Linked DNA regions of Macaca fascicularis. The protein of the gene in region 1 interacts with the protein of each later gene in a pairwise test. Links are inferred from orthologs where the notes say so. Each region holds a gene or a part of one and is shown in the gene's direction. Other genes may lie near its edges.

Region 1 (4,355 bases):
TTTTTGAAAAGAGCCTGGTACATAGGACTTGATAATGAATGAAAGTATATGCTACTTTTGGAAAAACAAGCATGACAAGATAGTTTATATACCGATGATCTTCAGCACAGTATATGCATCTTGTTTTTAGCTAGTCTGATAGTGAGATAATAAAAAGAGTTATCTTTGACTTGCACTACGAGTAAAATAATTCAACTTCAGTTTTTAGAAAGATGTAAAAGAATTAAGAGTGACAGTCTTGCTAGTCTCAACTGCCATCTTCCTATCAGGTGGTAAATTCGTCCAGAGAAGAAACTGAATTATTGCTATATGGGATTCTGTAGCAACTTCCGTGAACGTGGGCTCATAATTTTTCACCATGAGACTCAAGCTTTTTGGAGTCATAGTTGTTTTTGGGTCTATTCGCAGGCATGCATCCTTTGCCCAGAAATATACACATTTGGCAAATGGACTTGGAGGTAAAAGAGGAGGAAGGCCTGAGGCTAGACACCACTCCAATAAGTATATTAAGCCCCTAGAAAAGCAATCCGCCTTTGCAGAGAACTCTTAACTATTAAAACCTATAGCTTGTAAAGTAGCATTTTCAAAGTTGAGAGAATAATGTGGAAGGGTCCTGAGAGGCTATTGACTAAACAGCTGCAAACGAAGGTATGGAGTTTGGTGCCAAAGGAACCTCCCCACAAATTCAAACAATAACACCAGAGTAAAGCCCCTAGGGTGAAATAAGGAGATGCAAGAAAACAAGCGGAAACTCGAGAAGCTCTAACGCTTCAAAGCTTCAATGACCCCAGATAATCTACGTAGCCAACGTGTTAAAACACACCAACGCATTTTTTTTTTCCTAAACAAAGTAGGAAAGCGGACTTTGCATGAGGGGCGGGCTCCGCGACCCAGGAGTCTTTCTTGGACAGTCCGTCCTGATTCTCTCTCGTTGACCGTGGAGGGACCACATGGCTCCAAGGCCCACACACCCCGGGCTGCCGCACAACCTCCAGCCCTAGTCTAGACCCACAATCCCTTCTCGAAGATTAACCTCGACCCGGCAGCCCCAATTCTTACCATAGCGAGGCCGGCGATACCGCAGCCACATCACCCTTCCGGGCCCCAGGCGGAAGAGGCTGCACGCCCCGTCTGCCCTTTTCGCCCTCTCCAGCCGTCCGGTTGGGCTTGTCACGGCACCGCCTACTGAGTCGGGCGATTAAGACTCTAGGATAGGCTCCTCTCCACCGGAAAAGGCGGGATTTAGACCACGCCCCGCAGACCGGCGGAAGTAGCTGATGCTCTCATTGGTTGCAAGAACTTGATCTGTGAAAGCGGGCGTTTCGGAGGAGACCGGAAGTACACTCACGGAGAGGTAGGGTCCGGAAGTGGGCTGCCTCTTTAAATAACAAAAATATGATTTTCTCTTTTTATCTTTTGCTTTCTTTTTAAAAAAGTTCCCTGCTATTTACCCCTAGAACTCCACAGTGTGAGAATCCCCCTCAATTTGTGAGCTCCCGCGCCTTCCTCTTGTGGGCTTTTGGGGATGCTAGGGTTCCCGGCATCATCCTCAGGGTGCGAACCTACCTGTTCACCTTCTTTTCAGTTTCTCTATTTGCATCTGGGGGATTCTTGGGAATGCGAAGCACTTTTGAAATGCTCTGTGTTGGTTGTGGGATTGGGAGGACAGTTGAATCCAGAGGATAGTGAGCATTTCCCCAACACCGGCCTGTCCTTTCAATCCCCAGATATTGGTCAACTGTGGGTTCCATCCAGGCATCGTGACTGAAACGTACTAGGCAATTTGGGGTCAGGAAAGAACTTTCTGTGGTAACCAATGGGAAGGAACTGCAATTGATAGGTACTTTAGAGAGATCAACTGGCAAGACAAATGACAAGCCAACTTTTAATCAGTAGTAGAATTTAGCTTTTTCTGATGTTAATTATCCCAATAGGTGAGGTTCTGTTACACACACACACACACGCACGCACGTTTTTCTTTCTGCATTTTATCGATGGAGAAACAGGAGCTTTGACGTGTTTGAATTTGCGTAGTTCTTGGAATTCTGATAAAGTATTAGAAAGGAGAATTTTTCACTCTTTGCCCCCTTAAGGCAACCTTTTGGCTCTAAATGTGTGGTGTATTTTTTTCTCAGGCAGCAGAGGGTTCTTTTCAGAATGTTTTCAATTTTTTATTTATTGACTTAGAAGGTGGATAGAGAGAAGGTAACTCAGGTGAGATGTTGGTTTACGACCTGTATTCGGCCTATGAGACCGTTTTGTATTTAGGGCAACACAAATGATTAGAAGATTTGGGATTCTGCTGTTTGTGTTTTACATCGTTCACTAGGGCACACAACGGTTTTGTTTTAAACTCTAACTAACTTGATAGTTGAGTCTGTTATATTGAATTGTCAAGAGTTGGTCAATTACACAAATTAGCAAGTATTTACTGGGTGCCTGCTTTATTCATAGATCTTGAGATTGCAGCATAGGAACAAAGATGGTCTGTTCTTTTAAGGAATTTAATAACGTTGTGGGAGAGGGGAAAAAGAAAGGTATAAAAAAAATACAGTACTCTCCACCTGAGGAAGAAAAAAGTCTTTTAATGTTCTGTCTTGTAATTCCTTTATATTATACCTTTTAGGTCTTGCCATTCAAATTAAACAAACTTGGTTTAGCTATGGAAATTATGTTGTGCAACTTATCGAGCTTGGCTTTTAGGGTAGTAAATGTGTCTGTAGACATAACTGCCCTTGCTTTCATGTGAAGATTGTCTTGATCTTTGTTACACTTAAGAGTAATACTTCTGTATGAAGCTCTGCTTCAGGCTACCTGTGAAGAGCATCAGAAAGCTTAACTTGTAGAGATCACAATTGATTTGCTATGTCTATATATTTTAATTAACTTTAGGCCATGGCTTCTTATGTACCTGAGCTTCAAAATAGTAAAGAACGACATTGCCAGTTTTTAAGTTATCCATGGAGAGAAACACATGTGCCAATAAATGAGGCTGAACAAATATGTATAATGTTTATTGCATTTATGTAAAACATCAAAGTTAATCTGACGTGAGTCTTTTTGGGAGGTGGTAGTTTAGCTGCATCGTCTTACATAAACCTGCTACTTTTTGGTTTTCAGATTATATCACAATTTCAAAAGTCTTTCTGGCAGCTTTGCAATGAATCCTCATTTAAAACCATCTTGGATCCTTTCCTTACTAGAAATAAAATCTGACTGTGTTATTCCTTTGTTCAAAAATTATTATTTATTTTATTTTTGAGACAGGATCTTGCTCTGTTGCCCAGGGTGGAGTGCAGTGGCACAATCATGGCTCACCGCAGCCTCAACCTCCTGGGCAGAAGTGATCTATCCTCCTCCCTCAGTATCCTCAGTAGCCGGGACCATGGGTGTATGCCACCATACTTGGCTTAATTTATTTCATTTTTTGTAGAGATGGGGCTCACTATGTTACCTAGGCTGGTCTCTAACTCCTGGGCTCAAGTGATCCTCCCGTCTTGGCCTCCCAAAGTGCTGGGATTACAGGTGTAAGCCACCGTACCGCGTCTGACCTGTTTAAAAATTTTTATCTCACCTGCATCTGGAAGAATATTTGCAACTTTGTTTTCTTGGGTATATTCAAATCATATGTAAAAATAGTGATATTTATATTTTTCTGTGGAGCCAGTGCAAAAGTGTCCTCAGTGTTATGAGGATTAAACGAGTTATTACAAGTAAATCATCTAGGCAAGTGTTTGGCATACAGTAAGCACTCAGAAAGTGTTGTCTATTGTTGTGCATGGCTTTGGTAAATTAAAAGTCTCTGGAGAGGAGGAATTATAATGGAGGAACTGTTGAATTGCATATATTAGGCACTAAATACAGTAGTCTCTCCTTATCTGAGGTTTTGATTTTGACAGTTTCAGTTACCTATGATCAACCACAGCCTGAAAATATTAAGTAGAAAATTCCAGCCGGGTGTGGTGGCTCATGCTTGTAATTCCAGCACTTTGGGAGGCCAAGGTGGGCGGATCACTTGAGGTCAGGAGTTCGAGACCAGCCTGGCCAACATGGTGAAACCCAATCTCTACTAAAATACAAAACTTAGCCAGGTGTGGTGGCATACACCTGTAGTCCCAGCTACTCAGGAGACTGAGGCAGGATAATCAATTGAACCCAGAGTGTGGAGGCTGCAGTGAGCCGAGATTGTGCCACTGCAGTCCTGCGTGGGCAATAGAGCGAGTCTCCATCTCAATTAAAAAAAAAAAAAAAAATTCCAGAAATATTTCATACATTTTAAATGGCATGCCTTTCTGAGTTGTGATGAAATCTTATTCCATCCCATTCCATTCAGCCTGAGGCCATGAATCATCTCT
Region 2 (3,060 bases), on another chromosome or scaffold:
ACATCTTAGAAAAGAAAGTTATGTGTATAAGGTACTTCCAAGAGGAAAATTGACAAAAATAGAGATATTGATGTTCTTTCCTTCTCATTCCCTTTCCCAACTGTAAATTGCCTTCCAATTTTTAAAAAATGCATGTTATTATTTTTAAAAATATGGGTAACTGAGATTAGACATAAAACATGCCCTCAAGATGTTTACAGGAGCTGTGTATACAGATAAATGTAATGCAAGATTTTCCTTAAGGAACTGGTGAGCTTCCTACTATAATGAGAATTGTGCAAGTTATTATATTGCCTTTTTAGCCGTGGCTACCAAGAATCTTGGGGATAAATTTGATGCTCTATTTTTAACAATTGTGTTAAAAATTGAGATTATCATATGTGTATTCTGCTTTTTATGTTTTTGATTTCTACCTTTATTAGCATTTTATTATTGTAAACTGTCTCAAATCCTTTCTGGAATGAGTACTGATACTAAGAAAAATATAAATGTGGCCAGGCGTGGTGGCCCAAGCCTGTAATCCCAGCACTTTGGGAGGCCGAGATGGGCGGATCACGAGGTCAGGAGATTGAGACCATCCTGGCTAACACAGTGAAACCCCGTCTCTACTAAAAATATAAAAACTAGCCGGGCGAGGTGGCGGGCGCCTGTAGTCCCAGCTACTCGGGAGGCTGAGGCAGGAGAATGGCGTAAACCCGGGAGGCAGAGCTTGCAGTGAGCTGAGATCCGGCCACTGCACTCCAGCCTGGGCTACAGAGCGAGACTCCGTCTCAAAAAAAAAAAAGAAAAAGAAAAAAGAAAAATATAAATGTATTGGGCTATAAAGGTTAAAAGGACAGATATGTTACTTCCTTTGTCATTTTTCTCATTTTTCCCAATTCATTGACTTTATTTTTAAAATTATAACTATATGTTGCATGTGAACATTTTAGAAAGATATTAACCAAAGTATATACTAAAGTACATACATTAATGTTTTTAACCTATACATTTGCTGTTCATCAGGGACTGTCCTCTGCCATTCAGATTTCTAGATACAGTCTTCTTAATTGTTTCTTGAATGTTCCACACTGTCCTAGAGTCTTTCACTGCTTTATTTTAAAGCAACTCTGTAGCTCACTGTGGAAGGAGTAGGATGAGGGAAGAAATGAATTTGGAGACAGAATAATTCTAGTATTATAATATTACTTAGAAATCTGTAAATTATAATGTCTGTTATGATGGCAATCCTAGTCTTATTGAAACATGAACTGTAAGAATATCTTAGACCTATAAAACTAAACTTTCCAAAGTATCTAAGCTAACGCCCTGATGTGTCAATAAGCTTTTGCTAGGTTTGCTGTAATAACAAACATTTCTAAATTTCAGTGCCTTATAACAATAAATACACTTATTTCAGTGTATTTCTCCTTATTGCAGCTGTGAATTGGCTGTGGCCGTGTGCCATGTGTATTCTCATCCTGGAATCCAGACTGAGGGATCAGCCTCTATCTGGGACATGCTTCTTGTGGCAGAGGGGAAATGGCAATAGCAGAACCAGAGAAAGAGTCTTAAAGCATCCTTTTGGAAGTGACACACACTATTTCCACTCACATTTCTTTGGGCAATCACTGAGAAGTGAGGAAGTATAATCATATCACAGGAAGGGGCAGTGAATAACTGGGACAAAAATACATTCTACCACATGGGAAGATGGGATGTTGTGAATATGATTATGAGATTAAGGAACCATTATTACCAATCTCATGGGCCATTTTAGTTTCAGGAACCTCATGGTAGGAAAAGTTAGAATAATAAATAACAAAGCATCATTTTAGTGCCCTTTCCAGAAATCTGTAGTGGTAAGCTATGCATTAATAAAATTAATTCTCTGGATGCAGAAAGACATTTTATAGGTAGATGTCTGTCATCCCAGGTTGAGTGGCGATTGATGTGTTGTACCAATCTTCTGTTTTTCAGTGAGAAATGTTTTAGATGAAGATAATGATAATGTTGGGCAACCCAGTGAGTATGACCTGAACGACAGCTTTCTAGATGATGAGGAAGAAGACTATGAGCCAACAGATGAAGATTCTGACTGGGAACCAGGAAAGGAAGATGAAGAGAAGGAAGACGTGGAAGAGCTTTTGAAAGAAGCAAAACAGTTTATGAAAAGAAAATAGTAACTAACTTCTGTAGTCATGTGTGCCTTACATTTACTTTTTCTTTGTGGGAAAACATTTATGAACTAAGGAGGTACTTAAGTGACAGTTATTTCCTTCTTTTGATAGTTAATGACTTCTACTACTGACTCTTTACAAGTGAGACATTGAAACGTCAGCCTTCAGTATAATAGATGGAATTTTTTGTTGCCTTGCCTTTTCTTTCCTACATAAAGCCTCTGGAAATAGGAAGACGGAGAAGGTAGAGTAAAAATGGATATTTTTGATGTACTTTGTATATTGGTAATAAAAAGTAAAAGCCATAGGTTGCGCAAAACTTTGGTCTTTGTAAGTTTTTTTCCAAAGATTATCTTTATGGAGTACTCTGCAAGTATAACCAGGCAAATTACATGAAAACATGCCTCTTTTCATTGTTACTGAAGTAATTCTGTAAGCAGAACAGGATTTTTTTTTTTTTTTTTTTTTTTGAGACGGAGTCTCGCTCTGTCGCCCAGGCTGGAGTGCAGTGGTGCTATCTCGGCTCACTGCAAGCTCCGCCTCCCGGGTTCACGCCATTCTCCTGCCTCAGCCTCCCGAGTAGCTGGGACTACAGGCGCCCGCCACCTCGCCCGGCTAATTTTTTTGTATTTTTAGTAGAGACGGGGTTTCATTGTGTTAGCCAGGATGGTCTCGATCTCCTGACCTCGTGATCCGCCCGTCTCGGCCTCCCAAAGAGAACAGGATTTTTAAAATGCAGCCATTACTTAATGGCTTTTTTTTTCTAGTACCTTAGATGTGAGCTTTGCAATTTCCCTTACTACTTTTGTCCTTCGAAACTTGGGAAGATTGGTTCCAAATGGATACTGAAAATAGGTTCAACTAGGCTGCAGAAGAGAAATGTTCACCATGCAGGGAATGT

Evidence for each region.
Region 2: the proteins of XRCC4 (region 1) and APLF interact in binary tests that used the Homo sapiens proteins (3 or more experiments, as listed by UniProt). The link is inferred for Macaca fascicularis from reciprocal best matches to the Homo sapiens genes XRCC4 and APLF.

The regions. Positions count from the first base shown.
Region 1 is NC_088380.1:86,997,878-87,002,232, forward strand, and holds the start of XRCC4 (DNA repair protein XRCC4), read left to right. Parts: upstream 1-1,285; 5' UTR 1,286-1,354; intron 1,355-4,355. Other genes in the region: TMEM167A (protein kish-A), read right to left, coding at 1,060-1,062.
Region 2 is NC_088387.1:53,372,131-53,375,190, reverse strand, and holds the end of APLF (aprataxin and PNK-like factor), read left to right. Parts: intron 1-1,959; coding exon 1,960-2,162; 3' UTR 2,163-2,478; downstream 2,479-3,060. UniProt on the Homo sapiens protein: Histone chaperone involved in single-strand and double-strand DNA break repair.